4 linked regions of the Drosophila melanogaster genome follow. The protein of the gene in region 2 interacts with the protein of the main gene of each other region in a pairwise test. Each region holds a gene or a part of one and is shown on either strand. Other genes may lie near its edges. The genes, in order: eg, CG8319, fd59A and CG2926.

Region 1 (8,337 bases), on a different chromosome or scaffold from region 2:
CTTTTCCCGGGAAGACTCTTTCACACATCTAATGCAATGTACTACAGTGACTTGTTTTGCTAGCCCATAAAGCCTAAGGTCAAGCGAGAAAAGATACGGCGAAGCGCAAATAAAATATCTGCGAAAATCTTGCGTCAACTACTTAAAGAGCATGAAGAATCCGAGGGAGGGATCAATTTTGTCATGGATATACAATATAAATTCTTAAACACATTTGTGCGCTAATAATGTATTCCATGGAGGCCTTAGCTGCCACTTTTGGGGAAATACGGGCCACAAATGGCCAGACTTCTTCGTCCATAACTTGTATAGTTTATTATATTATAATATAGTATAGTATATTATTTTATGATGAAGAAACAGAAACATATAAACTGTTTAAGAGATAATATATATAATAAATAAATCGTGAAGTCCAATACAAGGATAATAAAATTATATGAACTATGTGATCAAGCAATTCAAAAACAAATGGTAGGATAATGAAATTTAACTTTTACTTGTTAGTCGTCAGAAGGGAAATTTTAAATAATTAATTACATTTATACAGAACCTTTTTAAAGAGAGAAACATTTATTTAAAAAAAAAAAGTAAAACGGATACATTTTTGATTAAATCTGATTATTCTTTTTAGTATTGTTACTGTTATTATTATTATTATTATTATTATTATTATTATTATTATTATTATTATTATTATTATTATTATTATTATTATTATTATTATTATTATTATTATTATTATTATTGTTATTATTATAATTATTATTATTATTATTATTATTATTATTATTATTATCATTAATATTATTATTAATATAATATTATATATTATATATTATATAATATAATATTAATATTATAAATATTATTATTATTATTATTATTGTTCTTATTATTATTATTATTATTATTATAATTATTATTGTTATTATTAATATTATTATTATTATCATTATTTTTATTAATATTATAATAAGAATAATTAATATTTTTATTATTTTAAGTATTGTTATCATAAATAAAAATCAAGTATTTACGTGCGGCTCTGTAACCATCAGGATCTTCGTAATTCTCGTTGGCCCTTTTGAGAACCAGAACTGCCACAGAACGCCCTGACTCCCTCCAATGACAGCCAGCTAGCAAGCTTAAGTGCTCCCCAGAGTTTTCCCAGTCTGGATATTTTCCGGACCAGGGATGCAAGTGGCAGGGAGCTGCTCCGCGAAATGCGCCCAGCAGGTGGTGTGGCCACAACGTGATGCTGCTTCTGTGATAATGGTTGGCCCCGTCCAAAGCCCGCCGGCTGCCAGATCCGGAGCTGGCCTGCCAATGCTCGGCACTTTGCATATAAACGCTCGCTAATGGACACCAAAGGTGACAGCAGAGCGCTGCTAAATTGGCAAACATTAAATTTGCACCTTCACAGCAAGCGAGCCATCGACCGCGAAACCGTGACAATTTTCGGCACAGCGGTGCACTTTTTCAGAAAGCAGGAAAATCATCGAGGAGATCTTCCATCTCTGGGTCCCAAAGACTCAGAACCGCAGTTCGTGGTGGAGCTGGAGTGGTAAGCCAGATTGCACTCAGCTAGAAAGAAGATCTCTGAATGGAGGAGTTTTGGGGAAATGGATTCATAAGCATCGTGTTAGCCGAAAAATGAGTATAATTACATCAAATAGGTGCATTTACCTTCGACATTGGGAACAACCTATATTACTGCTGCACTGCTTTCATAAATAAGCACTCATAAAACTAAATATTTATGCACTTAATATGCATAGAAGTGCTGTAAATTGCAATACATCTCGCCGTACCTGAACTTCGTAGATAAAGAACCAAAAAGTCAAAAATCATTTCGATCCTTATTGAGAAACCCGATTGAAATCCAATTGAGCGGCACGCTCGAGCTATAAACTTGCAGATCCCTATCCGCAGGCGGCATCTCAATCTTTTTGGCTTTATCACGACGACAACGACCAAGGCCACTGATCCACGTAACCGGGCGCATATTTGAGAGTCTTGTTCTTGGGGCATCTTTAGGACCCCTTTAAGTCAGCGCATAGAAGTAGTAGATGTCATGGAGGAGTACATAATTCCCATGCTTCGAGCTAATTACAAGTCCTCAAGCCGAGCCCAAATTTAAGGTGAATGCAATGCTTAGGTCCGATGGCCAGTTCGATTTGTGGGAAAACAATGAGTAGACGAGAGTTGTGCCAAAGACATTCTAGTGTCTTTGGTTGTGCCAATTCGAAATATTTGACTCTGCAGGTTCCTTTCAAATTTAAAAACAGAATCCCCATTGTTCATTTCTGAGTGTATATCGAACCGAACAGATCAGACCAGATATAGGAACGATCTTGGCTGTCAGACTTATCGATTAAGCCAAGATTAATGTTACACATTGGGCAGAAACAGACAATTAATTAGAAACCTAAACTGCTACAGAAACTACAACTGTATATTGATCGCAAGCCAAGTGGAGGAGATTGTTCGGATCTAATCTATGGAGATCTGCAGATGAACTCGATGGGGACAAGTTCAGAGCGGCTTAGACAATAAGAACCAGATCAGTTGGTCGCTGCCACATTCTCAACAAGCTCATCAACTCGCTGTTGACAGAGCTGAAAAAAAGTGGGCAGAACGTTGGACTTCTCTCAATAGGAATAATAAACAAGGTCCCAAAAAAATGTGTCCTTTAAAGCAAACAAAATGATGGACAATGCCAAATCTGATAAAGGCAACAGAGGGAGAAAAGGTGTTCAAACAAGCAAACCACGATTGTCTCAAATATTTTGAAGCCGCTACAAAATAGAACAAGAATCAAGAACACAGCCCACTGAACCGAACCCCGGAGCATTGACACAATCTGCAATCCAAATCCAAGTCCAAGCCCTAACCCAAACCCAAACCCAAGCCCAAACCCTTCCTACACCCGAATCGCCTTCCATCTCGCGCACAATTGCCGGTAATATGCTTTATTATTAGCCCTGCCAACCACTGGAGACGGACATTCGCAGTATGCAAATCCACTCAGCAGTCACACGCTCTAGTTTGAATTGTCTGCTTCCGCAATTCTTGATCTGCGATCCTCCATCCTCCATCCTCCATCCTCCATCCTCCATCCTCCATCCTCCATCCTCCATCCTCCATCCTTGATCCTTCTTCCTTCGCGATCGAGGATCCACGATCCAGTCGCTTCAGGCTGCCCCTGGCCCTTTTCTGCTTGATTGCCGACAGCAGTTGGACAATTAAATGTTTGAATATCTCCCATCTTTGTCCATTCGCAGCCCCTATTGTAGAAATTTCTTGACACTTATCGCACAAAAGGCAATAACATTATTAATGAGCATGTCAATGAGCTTCTTTTGTCTTCACCATTACACTTTTTCTGGTTCTCCTTGGTCCTCCTTAGTGGTGTGAGTACGAACTCATGGGAGTTAAGCTTGGTCCTTGATAGCTGGGGATAGTTGGGCCATTTCTTCGCAACAGATTTGTCTTTTTATTGTTGGTTTTTTGTTTTGATTTTAATAGTTTGTACTAAGTATTTCAATTATTGCTAAAAATATTATTAAATTGTATAATTTCAGTCTTTAATTGGTTTGGTTTTTATAATGCAATTGTTTTCGGTATTAATCTTTTATTTGCGATTTATTTTGACTTACAACAACCATCCGACAAATTTATGGAAATTATGCAAAATGGTTTTTATTCAATTAAGCCTTTAATATATATATTGCTTGTATTTATCTATTGTTTTAGCGTTTGAATTATGTGTCCAGCATCTCAACTTGTTGTTGTCTCATTAATTCAATGAATAAATGTTTTATTTATTCTCTTAATATGTTTTGTTTGTCAGCAGGGAGACTTAGCCATTTTTTAATAGCATAAGCTCATATACAACAAAATCTTACCTTTTCCAGATCATATATTTCCACAACAGCATAAATTCGATGTTTTTACCAACTCACTATTTATTTATTTTTTCCTCTTTAGATGTTAATTTTTCCAGTTTTTTTTTTAACTTCACACACTGGGATACGTTTGAATGAAAATCAACTGATTATATCAAACACACTCTTCACATGACACCTTAAATCCGAATTATCGCTGATGATATAGCGACGGCTTTCGAAGGAGATTTCAGCAATCACGTGGCGCACATAGTGCCGAAAAACTTCGCGATCGGTCGGATATAATGCGATTGCGAGAGCGAGAGAACAGCGAAAGCCTGACTGACGGTGCTTGGCAGCGTAGCGTCCATCCGAGACTAAATCGTCGCCGTCGTTCTGAGCGCCAAACAGACTCGAACTGGCAGCGCGGCCCTGGCCTCAAAGATCATCTTACCCCAGCAGCAGCAGCATCTGCAGCGCGGCAGCACGAACAGCAGCACTAACAGCAACAGCAGCGGCAACAAGACAACAAAGCGCACGCGTCGCTAGATTGTGTGCGTGCGTTTGCAACAGTGGCAGGGCACGGCGAAACTTAACTGTTAATCGGCGGCCGTCGCTGCAGGAAATCCTGTTTGGCAAACAGCTGCTGTGGCGAATGGTGCGCGTGCTCCGTTCTGCCGGTTTAACAGCAATGTTATGGCGGTAAGATCTGTTGACTGAACTGTTAACGAAACAAGATTTGTTATTTTCGGGAGAATTTTAAAACAATTATATTAAATATATATTATTAAATAATATATTAAAGATATTATTGACAAGTTAGTACCCTGAAAAAATGCAGTTTTTTGTTTCTACAACGCTAACTGAAATAAGTCAAAACGCATTTATGTATATTAAGAGTGCTAACATTTTTCTCCAAGTGCACCCTGCTACCGACCTCGCTTCGAACATGTTTGCTGTACGTTTCCAGCTCGGTTCGCGACTCTCCGCTCTCCGTAAATGTTAAAGCGTCGCATCTTCTGAGAGCTGAACTGTGGTTGGCTGTTGGCACCGGCACGATCTCCAAGCGTTTCGTTCGTTTCCATTGAATACTGTGTCGATGCGGTTGGCTGTTGGCTGATGTCTTTTTACCCCCGTTTGACTCTACACACGGTACTGTTATCATTTGAGTGTATTGGCCGCGAGAGTGTTGGCCCTGGTTTGCTTCGTTGTGCATGTGCATCCAATTGAACTCGTATTGGACGACTAATGTGGCAAGGAGGTGGGCACTTAATGCCCGGCGATCAGTGTAAACAAACATTGGGAGAAACCAAGAAAACATCAGAGGTTATTTGTGGCTTGACCTGCAAAATGGAGAAAACAAGTTCGCCTCCCTAGTCTTTCGTATATTTAAATATTTTTATGTGAATCTTTGTCGGATTGATAACGATTGGAGATGACCACATGGAAAACATATGCATAGATGTTGGTTTATTCTATCTGGGGGCACTGCAGAATTCTTTTAGGTTGAATACAAAATTCTGCCACTAATGGTATATATAAAGCTATATTCTTGTGAGCGTAAATAAAATAAAAGTTGCATGAGATTGTTTAACAAGGAATCAATTTTATTAGGGCTAAATGGTATCCATTTAAATACATTCGATACGGTACTTCAACAACAATTGCAAAATAATCAATGCTAGTTCTGTGCTGCTTAAATCGGATTGCCACCAGGCGCAAAATTGCCAGTGGAACAATCAACGCGTTTCCATATGTCTAATTGAATTCTCCTGTCATAAGCATGATCAGATGACTGCCTTCGTGCGCCGAGATGCCCACTAAAGTGATCCCCGGGCATTTGACCAGTCGTTGTCTGTCCCTCCATCTCAACTCATCTCAGCTCAGACTTAGACTCAGGCTCAGGCTCAGGCTCAGACTCCCGGCTTCTGTCACTTGGTGATGATGATGATTTCATTTTAATAACACCACTGGACGGAAGAAGAGTGCCACGGCGGAGATCGTTTAATACTCTGCATTCGCCGCGGCCGTGTCAACACCACTTGACGGAGTAACAAGGAAGCGCAACACTCTAAAACGACGTGTAATTTATCACAGCCAAAAGCATTTAGCCATGAACTGGAACGGAGACTCCGATTGCGACTGCAACTGAATCTGGCTAGTTTCTTGGAGTAGTTTCCTCTGGCTCTGCCTGTCAGTATAGTTGTCGTCATAATCTGCCAAGTGGCGATGCAGCTCCTGGAGCTGCTGCGGTGCAATTTGGTCGTCATATTAAAATTTCTTCAGCTCGTGGGCAATCTGAAATTTTCCCTCCGCTCTCTCCAAATTTTTAATTAAGTTTGGGCCTTGGCAACGGGCGCATGCGTATCTCGCCTGCTTGCGTGCTCATCTCTCAACTCGGTGATGAGTTGGGGCATTAGCTTAGATGGCTGCCCATATTTATTAGAGCGCAATCTGCCTCAAATTGTGGCCACTTGAAGCGATACGGAGCGGAGAGCAAGAAACTTTAATCTAATTATGAACAGAGTTGGTTGGCTTACTTTCAAGACGGACTTAAACAAATTGTACTCAGGATATAGAATTTCCCGAATTTTAATTCTATCAATAAGAGATTTGGAAGATATACTTTTTAAATCACTTTTAAAATTAACTAAATCGCTAGGAAATTGTAAATGCCAATGATGCACCAAATCTTCAACAAGTAATTGTTTTTTTGTTTTTGGCAAGTTCATATTGTTGTTAGTTAAGCTTTACACAAATTTAATTTAAATTTATTACTTACATTTTAAAGTTTTCTATTTAAATAAAGCTTAAGGATCAACTCAGTAAAGTGACTTTTTCCCACTACAAATTTTCAGTGAAAACTTCAGTCAAGCCAATCGGAGATTGGCAAACACTTGAACAGGTCTGTTTTGTGCGCTGGCATGGCCAAATACAAATTGGCCATGGCCAAAAAACCAGACGAATCTGCGAAAGAAATCGCTGCGAGGCACACACAAAATAGGCGACAAATCTTCCAAAGCTGACTTGAGGCCGGAATGCCAGAGGATTGAAGACATTTGGCGACATGCGATCGATGCCAAATCGATCCAGATACAGATACTTTAAATCACAATTTCGATTGAACGGACGCAGGCCAAGCCGGGCCAAAAAAATCTGAAAATCGATCTGCGCACATGTCAAAGGCGGTAGCAAACGCTGCAACAACAACGCGTTTAGACGCAACAACATCGACAACAACAACATCGGCAACAACTGGCAGGCAGCATTTTATTTCAATTTCAATTGATTGTCGTACAATCGCCATGAATAATTCAATTTTTAGAATTGCATTGCATGAAGTCAGATAGAGATAGCTGCTGGACAGGCGAAGGAGAGGGAGTGAGGAATACGTTACATGGACATATTTTTGCCACTGTCTGTTGTTGTAGCTGTAAGTTATAGTCATCTTCTCCTTTCCTTCACCCCGACCCCCCAGCCACTGACAATACTATTGGCGATATAAGGATATATGGAAGATGGGTCATCTATGAAAATACTCCTCAAAAATTGTTGTTACCAAAAGTTAGATGCCATTTGGATACTTTTACTGTTAAGTATTTAATGCCTTAAGGTAAATTAAGTAATTCTCTTAATACATTTTATTGAGAATCTACATAAATCAAGCAAACCATCATCCGATATCAATACAAACTGAAGCTTTAGATACCAACAATCGTTCGCATTCCCTGCTTCTCAAGGAATTGAGAAAAAGGCAGATGCTCAGACTTTTGGGCTTTTTTTTGTGAAATTGGGGAGGGGGAACTTAAACGAAATGCATCAAAACATCATCTTGAACCATTAGCAATGTCAGACACATTAAGCATCCCCTGCAAAACAGGACTCGTTCATCTGCCACGGAACTTCAGCCAAGCAGCGGTGATTAATGTGTTTATTATGCAACAATTATGTACATAAACACCGAGCACTGAATGCGAATACGAATTGGAGTGAGTTTGAGTGTCCCGTATTAATGCGGCTCTTGAGCGTTTCAAGATCACGGATCATGTCAAATTAATGAACTGGCTCCCGGCCCTTGACTTTGACACTTCATAAAGGTGTCGACGCGAGGGAAGATCCGTCGGCGTCCTGGCAAGGACAATAGACGGGCCGACCGTTTCAGTTGCCTCACTTTATGCGAGGACAGGCCTCGTCTCACCTCAAGACATTCACAGCCCGGATAAATCACACAGCGATGAATTTGCATAACTCCCGGTGCAGATCGGTCGAGTAATTTGTTCTGCTTAAGAGGAAACTAGTTTGCGTCCTGTCATGGGATACACTAACATCCTTTTTTAGGCCACCGCTAAAGGCTTGCCAAAGCGAAAGGCTCCCAAGAGTATCTGGATCTGAATGTGTGTCTGCATCTGTCGGATGCGGACCGCGATCTAGATTTCCTTTCATCCAT
Region 2 (7,372 bases):
TTTAATGCCGCATTCGAATCGGCGTTTGATAAGATTGGCTCAACACGTGGGCTCGACACGAACTTACCGTATCTGCCACAAAGCTAGGTCTTAAAAAATACCTTAGAAGGTCTATTGGTATAAATACCAAAGCTTTTTTGTTTTAATTAATTTAATTTCACTTTTCTATTTCTGGCTATTTATCTTTTTTATTAATATAATACATTTCCAGCGAAAATTGTAATTTTTTAATGTAATAAAGTCAAATGTAAAAGTTAGCACTTATAGATAAAAAAGTTCCTAAAATTAACGAAATACAGGTGCAAAGTTTTGGAATTCCTTTATTTGTTTTTGATTTGTATTATAATGTATAATTAACATTCTAACTTTTTAAATACTATGAACTTTATCGGGTGAAAACTTAATTGTTAACATGTGATGTAAGTGTGAGTTAAAATTTTCAAAACCCTTAAGCCGTTAAAAAGCTTAGGAATGTTCTGGAAGCACAACTGTTCTTCCTGTAACTACTACAATTGTTAAGTAGTAGAAGAATTGTTATTGGAGTAATTTTATGTTTTCTTAGCTTAGCCTGCTGCAAGTGATTAATTGTATGCCAGAATATATTAATTTTATATATTTTATAATTTAATTTAATTAGCAAACGGTCACTTTAGTGTTTCTAATTCCAGCTCAAGCAATCGATAGCGACAGGGCAGCATGCGATTGCTTATCGAAATCAGCCCTGGCCGGTGAAAAAGAATACGTAGACATCCCTGATTGGCCTGATTTGGGCCAATGAAAACGTTCCAGCAAACCAATTTCAGTAACAAGCCGTCCCGCTCCGACACGCACGATTTAGATGCAATAAATAAATAGCACTTTCTTGCCGGCATTTAGTACTTAACTTTAACCGAGTTCGGACAACCATCGGAGTTGGAAGAGTCAGTCCAAAAAGTGGTGCGGGATCGTTCACATGATGTGGTGCAAAACAGTGATAGTGTTGCTGGCGACAGTCGGCTTTATTAGTGCCGAGGTTTATCTGAAGGAGAATTTCGACAACGGTAAGTGGTAGTCATCGCGTTCTATGGCCGCCATGTGGTCCTCCGCTCCCCTTCAATGAATAACGAAAGGAGAGACAATAAAAATAGAAGAATAATAAAAGCACTCCCCCGCTTGTTCCCGTAGAAAACTGGGAGGATACGTGGATCTACAGCAAACATCCTGGCAAGGAGTTCGGAAAATTCGTCCTCACCCCCGGTACCTTCTACAACGATGCTGAGGCCGACAAAGGTAGCGTATATGTGTCGATGTGTCGTCACTCCCTTTTCCAAATCTTTCTCTTCGCTCGTTCTGCCATTTTTATTTTTCGTCGGCGTGTTATCTGCATTTGTATGTGCCCGTGTATGCGGAGAACATGGGCACGAAGAAGAAGAGGAAGAAGAAGAAAAACCACTACGTGTACGTTTTCGAGTAGCTATAGTAACTGTATACACATTTTTTCTCGCCCCCCACCTCCGCGCGGCGCGCATTCGTATTGATGTGGACACACATTATATAGGCATTCAGACCTCTCAGGATGCTCGATTCTACGCGGCCAGCCGCAAGTTTGATGGCTTCTCCAACGAGGACAAGCCCCTCGTGGTGCAGTTCTCCGTGAAGCACGAGCAGAATATCGACTGCGGCGGCGGCTATGTGAAGCTGTTCGACTGCTCCCTCGACCAGACCGACATGCACGGCGAGTCGCCGTACGAGATCATGTTCGGCCCGGACATCTGCGGACCCGGCACCAAGAAGGTCCATGTGATCTTCAGCTACAAGGGCAAGAACCACCTAATCAGCAAAGACATCCGCTGCAAAGATGACGTGTACACCCACTTCTACACGCTGATTGTCAGACCCGACAACACGTACGAGGTGCTCATCGACAACGAGAAGGTGGAGTCTGGCAACCTGGAGGACGACTGGGACTTCCTGGCCCCCAAGAAGATCAAGGATCCCACCGCCACCAAGCCCGAAGACTGGGACGATAGGGTAAGTTGTAAATCCCCGCCCAAATCAGACTTTAGCCCATCGAAAAACCGGTTTGGCTCATTGTTATTAAACAACAACGTAAATCTCTGTAGGCCACCATTCCCGATCCCGATGACAAGAAGCCCGAGGACTGGGACAAACCAGAGCACATTCCCGACCCAGATGCCACAAAGCCTGAGGATTGGGACGATGAGATGGACGGCGAGTGGGAGCCACCGATGATCGACAACCCTGAGTTCAAGGGCGAGTGGCAGCCAAAGCAGCTGGACAACCCCAACTACAAGGGCGCCTGGGAGCATCCCGAGATCGCCAATCCCGAGTATGTGCCCGACGACAAGCTGTATCTGCGCAAGGAGATCTGCACCCTGGGCTTCGATCTCTGGCAGGTCAAGTCCGGCACTATCTTCGACAACGTCCTGATCACGGACGACGTGGAGCTGGCCGCTAAGGCTGCTGCCGAAGTCAAGAACACCCAGGCGGGCGAGAAGAAAATGAAGGAGGCCCAGGATGAGGTGCAGCGCAAGAAGGACGAGGAGGAGGCGAAAAAGGCTTCCGACAAGGACGATGAGGACGAGGATGATGACGATGAGGAGAAGGATGATGAATCTAAGCAAGACAAAGATCAAAGCGAACACGACGAATTGTAAGGACGTCTAGGGAAAATTACGTCGAGAAATATTCGGTATTTTTTGTGTGTTGGTAGCTGCTTTGATGTTCTAAGCAAACGGAAACCACAATTACAATTTGTAAGACTTATAATTTATAAACATACAACTTGTTGTTTTTTTCCATTGCTCTTTTCGAGCGATTTAAGGGTTGTTTAGCTTGTTTATCAAAATGGTGGTGCCACGTGAACAAATCACGGCCGAATGGCAACGCTGTCTATATCGTCGTGTCTACATCGAATTTTGATTTACAGAAAAACGGTGTTGCCACTCCAAATGGTTTTCAAAGTGCTGTTCGAATTCTACGAAAATATAAATCCTAAATTCAATTAAATCCCAATATGAACTATAGAAACAATGAGATATAAACATAACCGAATCCTAATTTATTTATTCGAGTAAGCCGTGGTATTTGGTCAAGAATTTAAGGTATCACTTTAGCTTTAGCTTTTGATCTCCATCCCGATGCTTGCCCAGAAAGTGCCGCTTCAGATGATGTTTCTCCCGGAAGTCCTGCAGGCAGATGGAACACTTGTAGGGCCGTTCATCCGAGTGGCGTCGTCGGTGCTTCGCCAGGTTATTGTTGTCCGAAAAAGTCTTGGGGCAGTGGGGGCATTGGTAGGGCTTCTCGCCCGTGTGTATGCGGATGTGGACCTTAAGGGCCTGCTTGGAACGGAAGTTGGACACGCAGAAGGGACAGGCATGCGGCCGTTCGCCCATGTGCGCATGGATGTGCACCTTGAGGGCCGACTTGTTGAAGAATCCCGTTTGGCAGTATGAACATTTGTGGGGTCCGTTTCCCTGTTTCGATTCCGCGTGGATCAACAGGTGCGCCTTGAGGTTTTGTTCGCGAGTAAAGGCCTGCTGACAGTGGGGGCACTGAAAGGGCGAACGCTCCTGCATATCCTTGCATTTGTGGCTGTCCAGGCTCTGGGTGCTTGAAAAGACCTTTAAGCATTCCGGGCACTCGACGGTGGAATTGCTATTGCGATAACATTGGTGGTTATCCAGATCGGCCTTGAACAGAAAACGCTCTTCGCAGTTTTGGCATACGTGTGAATTGCTGTGAACCCTGTGGAATGAGATATACAATTTTAAGAACAGGTGAAATCATATGTATTGATTGTAATTACTTCATGTGGTCCAGGAGGTTTATTTGGCGCTTGAACTGTTTGATGCATAGTTCGCATTTGAAAGTCTGATTCTTTATACTCCTTAGCTGTCTGCCAGCTCTACTGGTTGTTATGGAAGACTTGGTTGTTCTGGAAGCTGTTTGATGTGTCTTTTTAATTTCCTTGTTGAGTTTCTTCTTTGCTTCCAGATTGCCTTTGTCTGGGTTCTCAATGAATAGGAAATCCTCCTCGTTGGGCTCGTCCTTGATGACCTGCCCATTTAATATCGCCAAATAGAACTTCTTGTAGTTCTCTTCGCATCTTCGCTTGAATCCGTAAGCAGTTCGTGCATCGTGGACACAGGAAATGCACATTTTTTGGGGCATAGCGTCGTCGGGATCCAACTGCACGTCGGCACATGTCTTCACCATCTCAGCGAGCTTGGCTCCATCAACATATTCTTCCACCTGATCGTCGAAAATGCCCAGCATGTTTTCCGAGGCCCCGCCACAAATTCGACACAGGTCCTCCATTGCTTAACTGCTGTTTAACTACAGGTCATATTTTTGGTAAACAATAAACTATGGTATAAACTTTTGTGTGCTTCTTTGTTTGGCTTTGGCTTAATAGAGATGAACTTTTCTGCCGTGACTTTAGTGACTCCAATTTTCGATCACGGTATTTATAAATGAAAGGTAAGCAAAGTTATGTTGTTAATAAAATAACAAGAAATTGAAAATAGTAATTCATTATAATTCATAGTTGATAATTTAGATTCATTGAGTCACGGTTTTTAAAAGTAAAATCTATCGATAACTGTAGCCACAGTCGCCAATCGATTGCATTTAAATAGTTCGCGCTACACCGTTTAGACTCAAATAAAGCAAATAATTGTATTTTAAACGCTTCCGTGAAATTGGCCATGCAAATTAGTTTGATATGGAAAACGTAGTTACTAGTTGGTATATTTATTGCAGACATGAACAGACTAAGTGTGAATATAATACTATCCTTTATGCTGTCTCTTCTGATATGGCAGACTTTCACATATTACTCGGTACTTGAAAATATATGCCAGGAAATCAAGGAGCAGCTTAAGTTGAATATGAAACAGGTGAGATACTGTATCTTTAAATTATGCTTATCTAACAAAGAAGTACATAAATATAATACAATAAATATAATAGCATAGTTATTGACAAGTAATAAAAAGTTTATTAGCCTTCATAGTAACTTCTTCCCAATATTTGCACTAAGCCAAAAGTGTTAATTATCGTATTGCGAATCCGTTAAATGTATGAATGCTTAGTTAAGCTTTTTAAATCGAAATCAGGCTGAGTCAAGAAACCGGCTTGCCTGCGAGAACGTCGATGAGAGGTGGTAAAACAGCTCTGCCCGTTCCCAGTTCGCTGCTAGCCAAAATTAAGCACCGAATGTGACAAAACGGCGGCGCTCAGTTGCTCAACTAAAATCGAGTCCGACGGTCGCGTTAGCTTGGGCTTGGCATTCGCTGCGGACACAGAAGCCTTCATTCCCGCACTTCGTCGAAGGTCGATCGATTTGGCTAACCAAAGCTCAAATTACTAGTCACAAGATGACGAAGTTGGCGTCCACCGCAAGCCTTCTGCTTCTCGTTCTGTCCCTCGGATGGGCGAAGCTCGAGGAGAAGCCACGGGAGAAGCGCCAGTCCAACAAGGTTTGATTGCAATCCAACGCCTTTGGCTTTTTTGTTTACATTAAGTGAACAAATTCTTTTAAGCTGTGTTCTCTATACTATTTAAATTCGGCTAGAACTAGTAATATGATTAAGAAAACACTACTTTCTTTATGTAAATTTATCTGAATCTAGATTCTAGAATTATTCAGTAGCCCAAAATGAATAATTACTGGTATAATGCGAAGCCTAATTAATAGTTAAGGTGAAAGGCATCATATGATTTTTATCTTTCGACTGAATAATTCCTTTTTTAGCTGCACATCACCCTCCTTTACGAGTCCTTGTGCCCGGACAGCAGGAACTTCATGCATCAGCTAGGACCCGTTTACGAGGAGTTCGGGGACTACATTGATATACTCTTAGTGCCCTTCGGAAAATCGCAGTCGGAGCGCAATGGTGCCATCTTCCACTGCCAGCACGGACCGGCTGAGTGCAAGGGCAATCGCCTCCAGAGTTGCGTCATCAACAGCACCGCAAACCAGGCGGCGCAGGTTAAATTCGTGGTGTGCCAGATGCTAGCTCCGGATTATTCCCGCATTGATCAGGTAATCTACCTTCCGCGTACTCGTTGTGCTGTGTTTGCCCAACTGATTAACGCCCATTGTGTGCATTGTACCCATTATATATACCTTTACCATTCCATACGCAGTGTGCCAATGAGGCAGGCCTGCTCACCGATGTGGTCCACTGCCTGTCCAGCGAGACGGGCACCAAATTGCAGCTGCAGGCGGAGCTGGTGACCAAACAGTACAGCCCGAGCTTCATTCCCACCATCGTCTACAATGGCGTAAGTATGAGTAGCCGCGATCAATCGTCGCCGTAATCGAATGCACTCAACTGGTTTTCTTATTCACATTCGTATTCGTTTCCACATGCAACAGGTCTTCGATCAGCAGCTGCAGGACCATTCGCTGCGCGATTTCCGCGGCACGGTTTGTTATATGTTGCGTCAACAAAACTTGCTGCCCAGCAGCAGCACAATCTGCCAGTAGATAGATCTGCTAAATGTCCAATGTAATTGCCTCAAGTTTGGAATGAAATTAAAATTCATAAACGCACAAGAATGCCTGTCCTCTGGGGGAATGGAATCGATATAATCACAAGCGAATCAATAAGGTCACAGAGAACAAACAGTACAAAATTGGTTTAGGTTCTTTCTATTTTAGGGCTATAATTCGTTCTAAATGTAACATAAATCAAATTTTGATATCATATATATATAATTTAACCAATTGTTATTGTTCACACTTTCCTCTGTGCAGCACACACACCGTTCAGATAATAATTTATATTGATAAGTAAGATACAGTTCATCAATGACAATCGTGTAAATGTATATAGTACATGCAGTGCGTAGGGCGACTAATTTATTTACAAATGCGTACAATATAAATTCATTATTTTTGGATCAAGGGGCACAGATTTAGATGATGGGATGGAAAATGGGGGATGGGCGAATATCGTTAGGTTTTCCTCTCGATGAACCAACAACAAATGACTTAACGACTAGGTGCTAATAGCTAATCTACAACTAGGATTTCAATTTCTTGCACTTTGTGTTTTGCTATGGTCGCTGACGGGTGTGCAGAAATAACAATTTGTAGACGGGTTTCCGTTGTAATTAAAGCATTTCGCTCAGACAGCGGTGCCCGGAGCCTTACCAGCGGATGAGCCCGCTGAGGCGCCGGTGGCCACCGCGTTGAGACTGAGCGAGCGACGTGGAGCCGGCTTTGGTGGTACCTGCGGCTTGACGGTCGCAATCTTGGCCAGCGTAACGCTTGCCTCGCTGATCAGCGGCTGCTGACCCGGTCGCTCCTTCTCCTGGAACTCCACGTAGCCGCTCTCGTCGCTGTCGCTGTTGTCGTCAT
Region 3 (8,703 bases), on a different chromosome or scaffold from region 2:
ATCTTTCACCGCCGATCCTTTTTCTTTTGGCCGTGGTCGTGACACCCACCGATTATTTGCAGGCGGGCACTCCGCTTATCCGTGGACTCGAAGGTCTGCACTGCACAGGTGTACTCCCCCGTCATGTTCCAGTCGGGATTCTTTATCGATATAACACCGGGACTGCCCTCCATAGTGAATATTTTGGTGTCTATCTTCGACTTCATGAAGCCCTACAGGCGCAAGAACAAGAACAAATCGAAGACAAAGACAGAGTTCGATTAATCTTAATTAATTCGGTGCGACCAAAGACCCCGAGTGACTCACCATGGCGAACCCCTTGACCGATGGTATCCACTGGTAGATGGAGTGGTTATTGAACAGCCATTTGAGGACGAATCCTTGCTCCCGCGGCCCGATCTCCACCTCGCAGTCGAGCACCAGAGGATCGGGTTCGTGGTCTCGGAACAGCGTGTAGGTGCGTGGCACCCGCAGGTTGGTGATGCGCACCGAGTGAGTGACTATGCGGCATGGGGGCGGAGTAGGAGGAGTACAGGATTAGTTTGGAGGAACCCAAAAAGGATGTATGCGAGAACTGCTCACCCGAGAGTAACGCGAGCACGGCCAGCAGCGTGGCGCGTAGGCCTCGTCCTCGCCAGCCCGCCATGACAGCCGACTAGTTTGCCTCAGCGTCGCTGGGCACTCCAGATCCTGTCGCTCGTGATCCTCCCGTTCCGCGAGGACGCGCCGTCGTTGTGCGTGGCAATGAATACTTCTGTGGTGGTTGGACGTTTCTACTTATCGCGGTGCTGTCTGTTTTCGGCTTGCGCTTTTATGTGGATACATGGGGGCCTTTGGTTGCACTCATTATCACCAATCTCATCACAGAAGCAGAATGGCAGGGGGATGCTTTTTTCTGGGGATACGGGCACTGACTGGCACAAACTTTTCTCGGCCCAACGAGCTCAGCACCTCGGACGCAGCAGCTCCTCGCAGGACATCTCCCACTGCAAGTCGCAACTATGGCAATCTCCTTTTATGGCCCGGGCCATTTAAAGTTTTGCCCACACAGGACAGGATACTTTTTGTTAGCGAAAAATCGACTTTTTGCAGCCCACATACACGAACATCTACGGCTGCGATAGTGTGTGCGTGCGGAATGGAGTCCGCGGGGGCGAACTGTGCCAAAAGTGGAGTTCGTACTCTCGGCGTAGCGCGTGAGTTCTGCTGGCGGATACCAATAGTTGGTGTTGGTATCTTCGGCGGCACACTGTTGTCCCGCTGCCAGGCGCAGCTTTTCATGTTTTAACACTGGAAGCCAACGGGACGCTCGTGGGAGAGCGGAGCTTTCGTTTGGTAGCGCCGAACTCCACGGCGTTCTATGGCGGCACAACTACGTCCTGCGCCAAATCAGCTGAGCGATGGTCACTGCGCAGGCGCTAAAGCTGAACTGATTTCCAGGCAGGGGTGCCACACCTGGACAGGTTTGCTGGGCGGTAAATTCAAATAACTCGGGGTGTTTTATTGCAAACAAAAGGTAACAAAACGTCGAAAAGAGGGATCCCTTTAAGGATATTATTACAAGGAAGAGAGTGGCCACATATAATAATATAATTATAAAAATAATACAATATTACAGGTATCAATAGGATTAAAAATTAATATTTAGTATACTACAAACATATTAGTAACATGCTGTAGTAGCTGTAGTAACAACACGTATATCGGTACCTACCAGTCAAACATGTATCCGTGTAAACTATTATTATGTTGTTGTTTATTCAATTTTCAATAACATCAGCAAAAATCTTAGTCTAATTTATAGTTAATAGTGTTCCTCTTGCTTGGATGTGTTACAGTTACACGCAGACGCACACGCACACACATACACATGATTAGTACTTGCATGGTAGATATAGGTCTAGAACCTGAAATCCCGACTCCAGACCCCAAGAATTCGTGTTAAAAGTATACTATAGACGTGCGATGCTTCAGATTTACATAGATATTACGCGCAGATATATGTTTAGTACGTAAGTGGACTGGCAACTATAGCGTTGACTTCGATTTGGTCGCATTTAAAAACTCGTGTGCTGGCTCCTACATCCTACGGATACACCTACTGATCACTACTTGCTGCTCGGATTGGATTCCTGGGGATTGCTGGTGGTGGTGTTAGTGGGCTGTTAAAACGTGCTTAGATCGAAACTGAAATCACCGTTCAATGGACTGTACACAAGCCAATTGGTTCAAGCGAGTGGGAATCCCGCCTAGTCGCTGGTCTCCTCCTGGCTGCCACCGCGATGCAGGTGGTGGCCAATCAGCGTCTCGATGCGAAAGTCCTTGGCGCTGCTCTGTTTGCTGGTCCGCAGAACCAGGGGCTCGCTATCGAAGCGTCTCCTTGGACTTGAATCGGACGCCTCGGCAGAAGCCTCAAAGATCAACGCTTCCGGCGGCGCATCCAGGCGATTTGTACAGGCGCTGTCCACCGAGTCCGAGATATGTGAGTCCTCCTGCTCATTGCCGCTCTCCACGTCGATCTTGTCCTCGCATGAGTCGTCATCTCCCTCGGCTTCCGCATCGGCCTCTGTGTCCGCATCGTCATTGTACACATTGAGATCCATGTAACCACCGCCGGCGGACAGTCGTTCTGCGTAATCCCTGTGGCCGGGAATGCCCGCAGCACTGGCCACAGTCGCCACATCGAAGGCGTATGGGCTTTTGTACTTGGAGCCACGGCTGCTCTCGGATCCCCCGCCCACTCCTCCGCCGGAGCCACTGCTGTGCGGTAGTGCATCCAGGACATCCGCTCCTCGACCGCGATTCATGAAGGGCAGCCGGTCGAACTTGTCCCCCGACTGACTTCCCTGGTAGAAGGATGCTTCGGCATTCGCAAAGAAGTTAAACTTCTTGTCCGCTCGCAGCGCTGAGTCAAAGACATCCGCCGGATTGTGGACCACGTCGAACTCCCTGCTCCCATTGAAGTTGGGCACGTTGAAATGCACTGGCACGAGGGGCACGGGCTTGCGTATCCAAAATGGAGACAGCGTGCCAAAGACCGCCGGAAACGAGAAGCGTTGCATGGTGGGCGCCCGTTTGTAGCGCTTCCGCCGGCGCAGGAAACTGCCGTTGTCGAACATGTCCTCCGCCAGCGGGTCCAGCGTCCAGAAGTTGCCCTTTCCGGGATTTCCCGGCTCGCGGGGCACCTTTATGAAGCAGTCGTTCAGGCTGAGATTGTGCCGGATGGAGTTCTGCCAGGCGGGGAATTTGTCCTTGTAGTATGGAAAGCTACAAGTAAAATGCACAAGTTATTTAACATTTTTTCGAGGAATTTTTTTTAAAGAATTTGGTTGTTTATCTAGATCACTTACATTGCAATCAGTAAATAAAATATCACATTTTAAAATTTATAATTTTTGAAATCGATTAAAGCACTGAATGTCTCTTCTTTTCTATGTTTTCAATTGAAATTTTATAGGATTTATTTATTTTTATCGTCTTTACAAACTACTACTTTTATTCTCTTTTTCTGATGTTTTAAGATAACTTGGAAAAAATCAAACTATTGCTTCTTCATTTAAGGATATTAACTTTGCTGGCAAACTCACCGCGACATGATGAAATCGCAGATCCCGCTGAGCGTGAGCTTCTTGTGCGGTGACTGAAGAATGGCCATGGTGATTAGAGCTATGTAGGAGTATGGTGGCTTTACCAGGGGACCACCCGAAGATCCCGAGCCGTCTCCGTTGCCGCCGGCGGCACCACTTCCGCCCATGGACGACGGCTCGATGTCGCTGTCGTCGCAGCCCATGGACATGGCATCTGCGGCGGCAGTGCGCGAGGACGCACTGCATCCGATTCCGTTGCCGATGGAGGAGCCGCCTCTGGAGCTTTTGATGAGCGGCGGCGAGAGGGAGACGCTGTCGTGCAATGTGTGCATGGGATCCGTGCTGGTGTGCATGTCTTAGCGGGTATACACTGTAGTCTATTTGAGTCCGCGAATTGGACTCACTAAATTTAGAGGACGCAACACTGTTATTTAACTATTTTGCTCAGGAACTGTGTTCGTTTTGGCGTTTCACTTGCTTCACTTGGCATTTGCATATGCTTTTCGATTCAACTTGGAATTTGATATTTTCTTTTCTATTTCCGCTTCCGTTAACCGTTCGCTGTTACCGTCGTTTCCGGTTTAGCTGCTAGGATAAACTGTACATATGGCCAGCAGTGGTGTGGAAAGTGGAAAGTTGGCTAGCGCCTAGTCCGTCGTCGCGTCCGTTGAAGGCGGAATCCGCTGGCCAAATGTTAACTGAATCGCAACGAAAACGAAAATCTTCTCGCCCAAAATGTTTTTCTACATAACTCAAACATTTATTTATGAAAAACCGCTGCCATTGCCGCTGCCGCTGACGTTTCCCTGAGCTTTTGTGTCGCCGTTGCTGTGTTTTCGTATCTCGAATAACTGTGATTCTACTGCCGACGTCGCCGTTGGCGCGGGCAGAGCATCCTGACGGCATCCTGGCAGCATCCTGGCTGCGCCCCGACAGCATCGCAGCAGAGGGAGAGAGAGCAAGAGAGCCCGGCCAAGCCTCTCTTTCTAGCGGGGGATGGGTTGATATCCTGCGAACCAATCTATGCGAACTAGCTCGTGCCATCCCTCTCCCACTCGCTGCAAGTCCTCACAAAATGGTGGAGAGCCCTGGCTGTAAATGCGATATTTGTGTTTTCCTCTCTCCAAGCGGCGGCAAATTGGCAGCGACTGCAGAAGCCAACGAACGCGGCGGTGGGGGGGATAAACATTTTGCGCAAATTTAGATACCTTTTGCCGCTTTGACGTCGTGGCTCTTAATAATGTTTCATTATGTCAGCCACATGGAGGCAGGCGTCCTTTTCCCCTGCGGCCCTCCCTCGTCCTCGCACTCGCCCTGCCAACCACCACTCTGCTCCTCTGCCCCAAATGTTATGCTTCAAATGTTGGCATTTTTATGTGCGAATGTTTTTCTAACCGTATGTCGACGTTTCTTGGTTTCTCTCGGGCTCGCAATCTCATTCCCAGCCCTCTGTCCCTATGCACAGAAAGAAAAAAAAGAAAAGAATCTAATTATGTGTTTAATTATGTAAAGTCCAAATTCCACAAATCTTACTTAAGTTAAGTAACGAAGTTATAGGGACTTTTCTTTGCAGTTAGATAAGTAGAATTGTATTTATTTTCATAGGATATATTTTGTTGGTTATTCTAAGAACGATTAACTGAAATATGTATATAATACAATGTATTATTATTAAATACATTTAAAAAAAAAAAAAATGCATAGAACAGTTATGTCATTTTAGCAATGCGAAAAAACCGAAATAAAATATAATTTTAAAACAATACATACAATATACAATACATCTAATATAGATAATATTGGTTTTTTTTCTGTATATTTTATTTGGGTGTGGAAGTGAGATGGAATCAAATGCACCATTTTCACCAACATCCTCCGAGCACAATGGGGGCTACTAGAGTGAGAGAGAGAGAGCAGTAGAGTGGGTGGGACGGGAGGGGGTTGGACGTACATGTGTTTGCTGCATTTGTACTTGTATCCAAGTGAGTTTTGTACTATTTCTCTTTTTCATTTTCGCTGTTTTTGTTCTCCAGTTGTTAGACATTGTTGTTGTAGCCATTGTTGTTGTTCGCCATTCAGTGTTTGGAGCCTTCCCTTTTCAAATTAAACATTCAGTAGTCACTTTTATTTGTTGTACTTTGTTCAAATTAGTTTTCCAGTTTTGCGGAAGTTACCCACACACAACCAAACACTCACTCACACACACAGATGCATGGAAACAGACACGAATACAATAAGGGCCGCCATCTTCGAATTCAGAACCATATTGATGTCGCTTCTTTCACTCTTGGCATCGTTTTCATTATTCTATTTTAGCTTTGCCACCCCCAAAATTCCCATTTGCCAATTCCCCCACGCCCGCCCACCTTTTACCCATTGTTACACTTACAAATCAATGATTTTTTGGCCAGATTTTTAGGGGCGTGGCATCGGCCATCGGTATGTATCTTTATCCCGCTTAGTAGTGTTGGTATTATCAGGGGGCATAAATAGAAGGGTGTATATACAATACTTACATGGGGTCGTTTCTGCTCTGCCTGCTCCCCAATTTCGAGGCGGAAAATTTATTGAGGCTTATCCTTGTCTTTTTATGAGCAAACAGAACATTTCATGGCAGCCAAATGAAATTGGTTGGACACAGAATGTAATCAAGTTTTTCGAAGCTAACGCTTAAACTATTTCGGAACTTTATAAACAGGTAAATCAAGCAAAAACGTACCCAATTACTGGAAAATGCTGGAAATCGAAAAGGAATATGTGTTTCAAACTATTGAGTATTAATTGCATGTGTACACTGTAATGACAACAATTGGTAATTAATTCCGACTAGAGTCAGCATTAATATATGTGTAACTGTATCGGTAGAATGGTTAACAACAATATAGCTCACCATGCATAGAGGATAATCTATCTATAGCTACCAGTCATCCTCAAAAACATTAGCCCACTTTATCCCCCGCGAGTTGCATCTAGTATATCGAAAATATTTGCCCTTTCAATCCACTTTTCATTACTTATCCGCCTGCTCAATAGTTTCCATGGCAATTAAACGATTCCAACAGCCACTATCCTGGGCCAATCCGTGGTCACAGCCGTATCCATGTTCCCTGTCAGACTACGGTTAATCGCCGCCTTAGCACGGCAGGAGTCCGGATGAAGGACGAAGGACTCGGGCGGCCAGTTGAGCGTAAGGATGCGGTGCATTAAAGCTTTCGCAGGGGAACAATTAACTTATGGCCAAACAATAACGCCGAGGAATGCACGCTGACAGGAACCAGCCACCAGGAGCACATCCTGCTCAGCCTCACCGCCAGCTCCATCTCCGGGCTATATATATCTACATGAATATCCTGCGTCCTCATCCCGCGCTGCAGCAACAGCGGCATGATCCAGCAATAATCCCTCTTTTGTCAGCAAATTTATTGCACACAAGCAAGCCGGCAAAGGATATGCCAAGCGGATGAAACGGAGCGCTCAGTGGGCAGGAGGGGTAAGGACTGCGGATACCGATTCGGGATTGGTCTCTGGCTTGGCTGAACCCAGACTTTGACAATACAAATCTTTATTGCGAAATCTGCAAAAGGCAAATAAAAGATTTGACACTTGAATTGCTTTGACTGCAAGGATTCGGCAAGGACAATCGCCACTTTTGGCTCAAACAAAGGACACAGTTGCTAGCCACCGACGATGGTCCGCCTTCATTATGCACTGGGAACAAAAAGAGGTCATAAGATATCTTCATTTGATATTCAAGTAAATCAAAATGGCTATGGCAGCATCTAATTATTATTTAATTATTATTTTGTTTATTAATATTATCATTATCTGTATATATCGAAATATTTCAGCACCTGTACGACATTTCCAACAACTACTAATTTAAGAAAGTGGTTATGTCCTTCGACAAGTGTACATCTTACGAAGGGGATCCCCTCTAATTTGCGCTTGAGATGGCGCATCCTGTCGCATCCTGCATCGGTGGACGGCATCTGAGGGTCGGTGGCACCTGCTGGATCGCAAAGGCAAACACTTGAGGCCGCGTAAGAAGTTCGAGAATGGCGAGGGATGGCAGGTTTAATAGCTTCACTTCTTATGTGATTATTAAATCTTTGAAGTATCTGAAGGCGCAGAAAACAAGTCAGGCTGGGGCTCTGGTCGTGGGAGATACACATACAGGCACTTGAATACTTAAGTGACGCTCAATTTGATGGACAAGGACGTCGAGAATCAGCGGGCAAGCCACCCCAGGATTGCCCAGGACAATGGGAAAAATCACAGCAGGCAGCGAGCAAATTGCACAACTGCAGCCGCAAATTCTGTTTCGGGATCTCCGTTCTCCAACCTGCCAACAAGTGGCAAGCACAACAATGGATTCGATTTAACCATCCTCACTGCCCCGCATCCGGATCGCAATCCTCCGGACGAGCTGGAATATTTCACGCTCGATTTATCCCGGCTTTTTTTTGTACCAGAGGGTTGGGACAAACAGCAAGTGCCACACACCAATGTTTCGTGGCTCATTTCATTCAGTTTTGTTCATTTGATGTGGATGATGATGACGATGATGATGGTGGTGGTGGTGGTGGTGGTAGTGGTAGTGGTGGTGATGCCTGTGCCTAAGCCTCTTGTTTGGCGGCAATAAAAATCGAGCACCGTGTGCCTAAGCCTCCTCGGGAACCCAGTCCATTCCACTCCACTCCGCTCGGCAGAGGACGTCAATTTCTCAATTCATAAATAAAACCCAAAGCCCTTTCAATGTGTCAGCACAAGTGTGGAAATTACTGGGCGGGTGGAAAAGTGGGCATCGTGTGTTATTGTTGTTTATTTGCCGCTGGATCTGCTCGAGCTACCTATAACCGCAGCCAAAGGATTTCCCTGCTCTCCATTTTGAATGGCTTCGCGTCCGCGAGGAACTCGACTGGGTACTTGGATCGCATTAAGTTGATTTATTATGCAGCGCAGAATTCAATTAAGTGGGATGATTGTCACTTGTCCGTATGCCACGAAAGCCAAACTCTCTGAATATGCGATTGGTTTCCCACTTTGGCTTTTGCTCTCTTAACTGCTGGGGCGTGGCAGCAAATCTCCAGCAATTTGGACAGTTGGTAATAACCAT
Region 4 (8,378 bases), 4.0 Mb from region 2:
AACTCTACGTCCCAGCTACGCGATCTCTACGAGGACAAGGACAATGAACGAAAGGCGGAGATTGCCGCTCTTTCGGGGCCCAACGAGTTCAATGAGTTCTACGCCCGCCTCAAGCAAATCAAGCAGTTCTACAAGTCCCATCCGGCGGAGGTCAGCGTGCCGCTGTCCGTCGAGTTCGACGAGATGATTCGGGTGTACAACAATCCGGACGACATGAGTGCCCTAGTGGAGTTCACTGACGAGGAGGGCGGCGGTCGCTATCTGGACCTCAACGAGTGCTACGAGCTGTACCTCAACTTGCGGTCGGTGGAGAAACTGGACTATATCACTTACCTTATGTCCTTTGACCACGTCTTCGATATTCCGAGAGAGCGCAAGAACCGCGAGTACCGCATATACATAGAGACCCTCAACGACTACCTGCACCACTTCATCCTCCGAATCCAGCCCTTGCTCGACCTGGAGGGCGAACTGCTAAAGGTGGAACTTGACTTCCAGCGCCAGTGGCTGATGGGCACATTTCCGGGTTTTTCGATTAAGGAAACTGAGTCGGCGTTGGCCAACACCGGCGCCCACCTTGATCTATCCGCCTTCTCCAGCTGGGAGGAGCTGGCCTCGCTAGGACTGGATCGTCTAAAGTCGGCTTTGGTGGCTCTGGGTCTTAAGTGCGGCGGCACCCTGGAGGAGCGAGCACAGCGTTTATTCTCTACAAAAGGTAAAAGCACCTTGGATCCCGCACTGATGGCCAAGAAGCCCAGCGCAAAGACTGCTAGTGCCCAGTCACGGGAGCACGAACGCCACAAGGAGATTGCCCAGCTAGAGGCTCTGCTCTACAAATACGCGGATCTGTTGTCTGAGCAGAGAGCGGCTACCAAGGAGAATGTGCAGAGAAAACAGGCTCGGACTGGTGGCGAGCGGGACGATAGCGATGTGGAGGCCAGCGAGTCGGACAACGAAGATGATCCCGACGCGGACGACGTTCCGTACAATCCCAAGAACTTGCCGCTCGGATGGGACGGTAAACCTATCCCCTACTGGTTGTATAAACTGCATGGCCTGAATATTAGCTATAATTGCGAGATATGTGGAAACTTCACCTACAAGGGTCCTAAGGCTTTTCAACGACACTTCGCCGAGTGGCGGCATGCGCACGGCATGCGATGCCTCGGCATTCCGAACACCGCCCATTTCGCCAATGTCACCCAGATCGAGGACGCAATCACGTTGTGGGAAAAACTCAAGTCGCAAAAGCAGAGCGAGCGCTGGGTAGCCGATCAGGAGGAAGAGTTCGAGGACTCGCTGGGAAACGTTGTCAACCGAAAGACGTTCGAGGATCTAAAACGCCAGGGTCTACTTTAGAGGACAAGCCTACGATTATGGTCGCTTGAGTACCGGTCAATTCTATATGACGCTTCCTCTAAAACCTCAACAGTCTTTATAATTCAAAACGGAATGACACTAAAATTGGTTTTATTTAAGGAATCTAATGTTAAGCCATAAAACCATTGGGCGTCCTTTTATTCATTAAAGAAAGACCATGGATCAGCCAACGATTCATGATTAGAATCAATTGTAGTTTAAAATAAACCCAACGTCGTGTAGTTTTCGATAAAATGGATAACAGTTTTAGGAATATAACATTAATTAACGATGAGGACATCCATTTTCAGTCCCAAATCATCTACCCTAGCCAAAGGAAGGAGGTAAACGGTTCGCCCTGTCGCTTGGGATTCAGTTTTTTGGGTCTGAAGCCAGGGAAACTCCTGGTACTGGGAGTCATGGCTGAAGCGGATGAATGCCTCCTGGGTAGTGTGCAGATGCACCTTAAACTGACAACTTCCGGCGGGCAGTTTAGGCGCCTGGTTTAAGCGCTGAGAGATTTTGTAGATGACAGAGCGCATGTTCTGCTCGAACTCCATCAAATGATCCTCTGCCGGTAGGCCACTCCTCTGGGTTTCTAGTTGCATTTTATAGCTCTCCAACTTCTCATTCTCCTTCTGATACACTATTAGCTCCAGGCACTGCAGCTCCCGGCGGCGAAGAAGTTCTTGTGCGGATTTTAGGACGCCGGCCAGGTAGTTATTAAGCGGTGGAAATATGGACACATAGATGGGCGAGTTGTACATCCGCTTCATTTTAAAAATGTGCGAGGGGTATATACCGCGCACGTATAGAATGTGATTCACTAGCACCTCCATCGCCTCCACGATGATGTCGGCCTTAATCTCCGCCTGCATTTCGCAAGCAAGCGCAACTAAGTTCACAGATGATTGTTTATTTTTTAGATTTAAGCTCCGTTCATTAGGGGTGGTTCACTAAAAAAAACAATGAATCGATATGGCGCGACATCATAGGTTACTAGATTACACAGATTATCTTTTTTAAATTGCTTTTCTATTTCTCGAAAGCCATATTCGTAAATTAAACCGTTGATATATAAAATTATAAATTATTAAATGTATCAAACTAATTGCATCTGTTTGGTCATTCAAATCGACATTTTAACAATCGATATTTTCAACGTTATCTGTTTATTATTTCAAAAACTTTAAGAAGGTAACATAAAGAAATTGATTTATGTTTATATTTAAATCTTTTAGTTTTTCATTATTTTAGTACTTTTTTGCAATCATAATTATTTTGCGTACTGTCCAGGAGCATTTTGTAGTAAGATTCAGTTTAAACAGAATTTAAAGAAGTGACATTTGGAGTAGAGAAACCAATACAATTCTTATTGAAACCGAATAATCTATACCCTTTCGATTTAAACAACATAAGGCGCCTATCGCCGTCTAAATGAAATCGTCTGTGGCACAAAAATATCGAAAGCGCTCGCTGACGTTAACCCACCTCTAGCTGAAAAAATGGCTGAAATCCAAGTGTGTGTGTAAAGGAAACTGTGTGTGAAAAATTTGAGTTTGTTACCAATTTGGAAATACCGACGTTGGGGCTACAAAATACAGGAGCATTGCCCACTGGCCACAGCATCTGCCCTTTAAACGAGTCATCACGGAAGCTGTTGAGCGATAAACGCCAGGCGGAGTTCCCGAAAATTGGCAATTGATGCCACTCACGGAAATCGGCACTCGGCACCCTGCACCCTGCACTTTTCGGTCACAGCGGCCTGCAATTACAGACAAGCCAGGCCGAAAGGCGACTACGCGGACTCCGGCTGGGCATCGTATCGAAAATGTGGCTACCAGGCCGAGAGCAGAGACTAGCAAGAACGAATAACTAGATGCAAATCGTGCAAATAGCACTCCCTATATGTAATATATATGTAATACACACGCGCCTGCCCTGCCGACAGTGTACACACAACAATATATCGGCTTGATACACACATACGCAGTTGCATCAGCATGTCCGACCGTGATTCCGATGCCGTATCCGACGCTGGTCCTCGCCTGAGTCAGCAGCGCGGGCAGCGGAACCGGCGCATCATAATGCGGATCGAGTTCAAGGACTCGGAGGATTCGGCGTCGGATCAAGACCGGGATGACCGCCCCTCCTGCTCCGCGGCGACGCGCCTGAGACGCAGCACCCGTCGACAGGAGGTGGCTTCGCATTCGGATTCCGACTCCGTGCCCCGGAAGTCTACGCGGAAGCTGCGCAATCGCTACGGGCCGCGGAGCGATTGCTCATCCAGCGGCAGCGATGTAAGGCATTAAAGTTGTAACCACTTCCCAGCGGCATCACCTATTAATGCACTACTTCATTCATTCCAGATCGATCAACTGCCGACGAGAACCAGAAAACGAAAGAAGGTAGAGTCCTCCGATGAGGAGGAGCCCGAGCGGACGCCCAACGCGGTTGGAAGAATCCAACCCATGCCCGCTGACCCCGACGACGGCTTCAGTTCCGACATCAGCAGTAACGATCTGCTGGAGAAGTGCCCCATTTGCTTGCTCACTTTCCGGCAGCAGGAGATTGGTACGCCAGCAACATGCGAGCACATATTCTGCGCGGCCTGCATCGACGCCTGGTCCCGAAATGTCCAAACTTGTCCCATTGATCGCATTGAATTTGACCGGATTATCGTGCGGGACTCGTACGCTAGTCGCCGGGTGGTGAGAGAAGTGAGGTTGGACCTGAGTAAGTCCAATACTGAATTGGTGGTAGATGACGAGGCAGACACCGCTGCGCTTTCCGAAGAGGAGGTCACCAACTGCGAAATCTGCGAAAGTCCGGATCGGGAGGATGTAATGTTGTTGTGCGATAGCTGCAATCAGGGATACCACATGGACTGCCTAGACCCGCCGCTGTACGAGATCCCAGCTGGGTCGTGGTATTGCGACAACTGTATTGACTCCGACGACGAGGATGATAATGAGCAGCTGGAGCTGGCTGACGACTTGGATCAGCTATACGAGGATATTAGAGGTATGGGCTTGCCGGAGACTCGTCTCAGGGTACGTGAGGTGCAGGAACCGCCAAGAATCCTGCGCACCCGTCAAAACGAACGCATAAGGGCTGCTGTACTGCGACGTACTCGCTCGGGCGCTACGTCGGCGGAAGATTCCACACTGACCCGGACTCGTACCCGCACCACCACCACAACAACAACCACTACTACAACTACTCGGCGCACAACCACAAGCACGAAAAAAAGACCTGTTCAGCGGCGGCGACGGAGAAGGACTCGCTATCGCACCTACGTGGTCGAGTACGATCTAAACAACTTTGACGAAAAGTTCGCCCTTAAAACCAGCAAGAAAGTGATAAGACGGCGTAGGCGTCGGCGTCGTCGTGGAGTCGCCACTGCCTCTAGTGAGGGGCCTGGTCGACGTCTTTCAGCCAGCAAGCGACTTGCAGAGCAGATGGGAGTAAAATCGGAAGGATTTCAAAGTTCTCATCTAAGTGGTGGAACAGCCTCCAGTTTCTCGCTATTTGGCAATGCGAACGACCTGGAGTATTTCTCCGATAGTGAGCCAGACGCAGTGAGCCAGATCAGTTCTGCTGGACTCGGATCGACTGCAGTGCAAACCTCAGTGCGCATTGGAAGCATTGGAGCACCGCGCATCCGTAAAGCCTTGCTCCAAGGCAAGGCGCGCATAGCAGCGCCGCCCACAGCTCCGACTTCAGCTCCCGCTGCAGACATACTGTCTAGCATTTTGGATTTGCAGGATCGCTGGCACGATGCTTCACGTAACCTAGGCGAAGTGCATATTAGGGCGGACGGTACCCTCAATATTCCCCAGAGACCTGCACCTACAGCGACGGAAGCGCCTTTACCGAAAGCAGGTACTTCTAAGACCGAGAAGCATTTAACCCAGGCACCGCTTTACCAACAGGGAGGAGGAGGACCTAACTACAACAGAGGCGGAGGAGCAGGCTCAAGTGATAGTTACAACAATCGTTACAGCGGCAATACCAGTTACCGCGGAGGTGGTGGAGGCGGCGCTGGAGGATCTAGCGGTGGTAGTGGTGTGCCCAGCAGTAGCGGGGAAGCTTCCTCGCGACACTTGACCGGTGAAGGAGACGGCCAAGGAGGCGGTGGCTTTGGCAACCAAAACTTTAGCAGCTCCGGCTCCAACAACAACACTAATATGTCAAGCTTTATTCCGTTCCATCTGCGATTCAACACGCCCACCCGCCAGCAGCAACCACGACAGCAAAACGTGCTGCCAGCTAACCAACCCACCCCGCCTTTCCCTGGAAGTGCACCGCCTCCAGCCCCAGTAGCGTCGTCATCAAACAATTTTTCGGGACAGACTCCAATGTTTGCAGCTCCCCTCAATCATCATCCTGCACCAGTGATGGGTATGCCAGTTGTGCTGTCCATACCACCTCCGCCTATGCCACCTGCCAGCCTTCCATGGAACAGTCCTCTCTTCAAGATAACCCCACTCCAGCAAGCACCGGCCAAATCCAACGATGGCAACCAAAACGACGATGTTGACAACTGCCCAAACTTCTCAATTTACTCGCAGGAGTCGCAGGCGGTTGCTAATGCCTCGGCGATGCCGTCAGGGGTTCCACACGGACCAGCGGATGCATCTGATAAGGTATGATATCTATGGGGTTTTCAGAATCTAGAGATATTTAACATGAATAATAGTAGGAGTATTTAGTATACGGAACCGAAGATTTTAATGTTGATTTAGGTAATTATCAAACAAATTAAGCGAGGTAAAGAAAAAAGTGATTTTGATATCAGCTTTGGTGATGAAAAATGTTTGAAGTGGGTAGTTATTAACTTTATTACCAGTAATAAAAGGCAAAATTATGCAAACAAAAAAGCATATTTAAAATTATATAGGTAAGTAATGGGTACATCATTATTCTCGCCATAATCTTCCGAAACAAAAAGATACACAAATGTATAACATTTTAATTTTCAGTTTTTAAAACCAAATATAATGTTATTGAAACCAAAGCAAGCAATATAATTAGTTAAGTAAGTCACGTTTGATAGTTTTTCAGACCAATTCTTCTTCAACGCTTACTAATCTCTAATCTTCTCTTTTCATCTTCATTTAATCCTTTCCTCTGGGACAGGATGATGACGATATGAATGAAGATTTAGTACAATTAGATGATGATGATGAGGATACGGATATACCATTGCCTTTGGGGCCTGAGCCCGAACCCGTTCCCGAAAAAGTCCCGAAAAGTAGTGATGATGACCTCTACGAGCCAGAGAATCCAACCGAAGAACCTGAAGAACCCGAAATGTTCGAAGAGTCCTGTGACGCTGTTCCAACGGAGAAGTCCGAGTCCTCAGATCACGAGCCAAGCAACTCCAACGTGCAAGCTGCAGCCCCAGAGGAAAACGATGCTGAGGAAGCTAGGACGCGCAGCACTCCCAGCCCACTGGTCAAAGAGGATCGCGCTGCGGATCGAGATCGGGCCAAGGGAGTACTCGAGCTTTATGATGATAGCGACTGGGAGGAGTTAGACATTGACAAACCGAAAGAGTTCGAGAAGGCACTGCTTACGGAAACGGAGGCACAGGTCAGCCCCAAGAGAGCTCCGTCTAAGCGACCACCATCAAAAAAGGATACAAGCTTAGAGAGAGATGTCAACGAAAGCGGTAGCGAGCACGAGCAGGATCGCTCGTACACGCCCTGTCTGGACGAAAAAAATTTGGCAGAGGAGGAAGAGGCTGGGACAACGCATCAAAACAATGTAAGTACGAGTCCCAAGACTCGATCCTCTAAAGTTTCCGGCGACGAGGATGAGCCAGAGAAAGCTGTCGGTACGGATATTCAGTCAGAGGACGAATTGAACAACGAAAACGAGTCACCGCGACGCAGTCGAAGCCGTGGCACGGCTAACAATAAAAAAGACAAGTCAAAGTCGCGTTCAAAACGCAACAAGGGCGAGACTTTCAAAAAGGTCGGCAAGCGGCAAAAGGATCGCAACTATCGTGGAGACAAGTCGGAGCCAGATCGGAGCCCGCGTCCAGACTCCAGGAGTCTCACTCCAAAGATGCGTTCTAAGAGCCCGAGAGTCAGCAAGAGCATTAGTCGCAGTAGGAGTGGAAGCAGGAGCAGATGTAAGAGCAAGAGTTTTAGTAGAAGCAGAAGTCGTTCCCCAAGTCGCAGTAGGAACAGGCGTCGACGTAACAGCCGTTCCAAGTCCTACTCCCGCTCTCATTCTAGGTCTCGATCGCGTTCGAACTCGCATAGCCGCCAGAGATTTTCCTTTCGCGGAAGGGACCACCAGCGCGGCTTTTTCCGTGGCCGTGGAGGCCTCCGTTTAAACTACCGCAACCAGCAGTTCCACAACAGGCCGTTCCAGCATTACGGCCAAAATTATCACCAGAACCAAAACTACCACCATCAGCACAATCAGCACCAAAATTACTTTCCACCCAATCAGCATGGCCAGCATCAGCAGTACTTTCAACGTCCCAAACGAAGGGAACTACCTCGCTATGATGTTCGAAATGTGGTGGGCACATCGAGACATCAGACACAGGCCAAGGATCGCTATGGACGCGACGCAATGCGGTCGCACAGAAGTCGTTCGGGAAGGCGAAACTCACGCAGTTTCTCACGTAGTGTTTCTCGTGACTCGCGGGTCTCCCTGCGCTCCCGATCTGGTTCCCCCAAGCGACGCAGCTTTAGCATGTCGCCCACGCCACCGCCAGGAACGTCACCTCCTCCTCATAAACATGGTAGGGGCCGTCAAACCTCTACGAACAGACGCTATGCACGCTCACCCTCACCGGCACCGTCTCCCCGCAATGAAAGGGCGACTAGTCCAGTTCAATCAGTTCACTCCAGAAGATCGCGCTCGCACACTCCCAACCGCATCAACGGAGATGGTAATAGATCATCCCTATATATGGGCTCGCCACACTACACGCCACGGATAAGTCGCAGCCGCAGCAGAAGTCGTTCCAAGAGTCCCAAGGATATGCACAAGAA

What was found.
Region 1: the proteins of CG8319 (region 2) and eg interact in a two-hybrid assay, tested with the Drosophila melanogaster proteins (one large-scale study listed by BioGRID).
Region 3: the proteins of CG8319 (region 2) and fd59A interact in a two-hybrid assay, tested with the Drosophila melanogaster proteins (one large-scale study listed by BioGRID).
Region 4: the proteins of CG8319 (region 2) and CG2926 interact in a two-hybrid assay, tested with the Drosophila melanogaster proteins (one large-scale study listed by BioGRID).

Annotation. Positions count from the first base shown.
Region 1 is NT_037436.4:21,804,812-21,813,148, reverse strand, and holds the start of eg (eagle), read right to left. Parts: upstream 4,447-8,337; 5' UTR 4,345-4,446; intron 4,311-4,344; exon of another isoform or gene 3,912-4,310; intron 145-3,911; exon of another isoform or gene 64-144; coding exon of another isoform or gene 1-63. Other genes in the region: CG43895 (uncharacterized protein), read left to right, coding at 1-63.
Region 2 is NT_033777.3:9,624,346-9,631,717, reverse strand, and holds CG8319 (uncharacterized protein), read right to left. Parts: upstream 4,398-7,372; 5' UTR 4,321-4,397; coding exon 3,809-4,320; intron 3,748-3,808; coding exon 3,108-3,747; 3' UTR 3,042-3,107; downstream 1-3,041. Other genes in the region: Calr (calreticulin), read left to right, coding at 953-1,040, 1,165-1,269, 1,538-2,010, 2,103-2,657; CG9427 (uncharacterized protein), read left to right, coding at 5,382-5,483, 5,759-6,049, 6,154-6,291, 6,386-6,496; CG8312 (uncharacterized protein), read right to left, coding at 7,140-7,372.
Region 3 is NT_033778.4:22,863,739-22,872,441, reverse strand, and holds fd59A (forkhead domain 59A), read right to left. Parts: upstream 4,284-8,703; 5' UTR 3,941-4,283; coding exon 3,588-3,940; intron 3,268-3,587; coding exon 2,250-3,267; 3' UTR 1,736-2,249; downstream 1-1,735. Other genes in the region: CG13532 (uncharacterized protein), read right to left, coding at 50-212, 307-500, 583-646. UniProt on the Drosophila melanogaster protein: Involved in development during embryogenesis.
Region 4 is NT_033777.3:5,582,802-5,591,179, reverse strand, and holds the start of CG2926 (uncharacterized protein), read left to right. Parts: upstream 1-2,799; 5' UTR 2,800-3,362; coding exon 3,363-3,659; intron 3,660-3,728; coding exon 3,729-6,008; intron 6,009-6,344; coding exon of another isoform or gene 6,345-6,392; exon of another isoform or gene 6,393-6,400; intron 6,401-6,501; coding exon 6,502-8,378. Other genes in the region: noi (noisette), read left to right, coding at 1-1,359; PolZ2 (DNA polymerase zeta subunit 2), read right to left, coding at 1,641-2,237.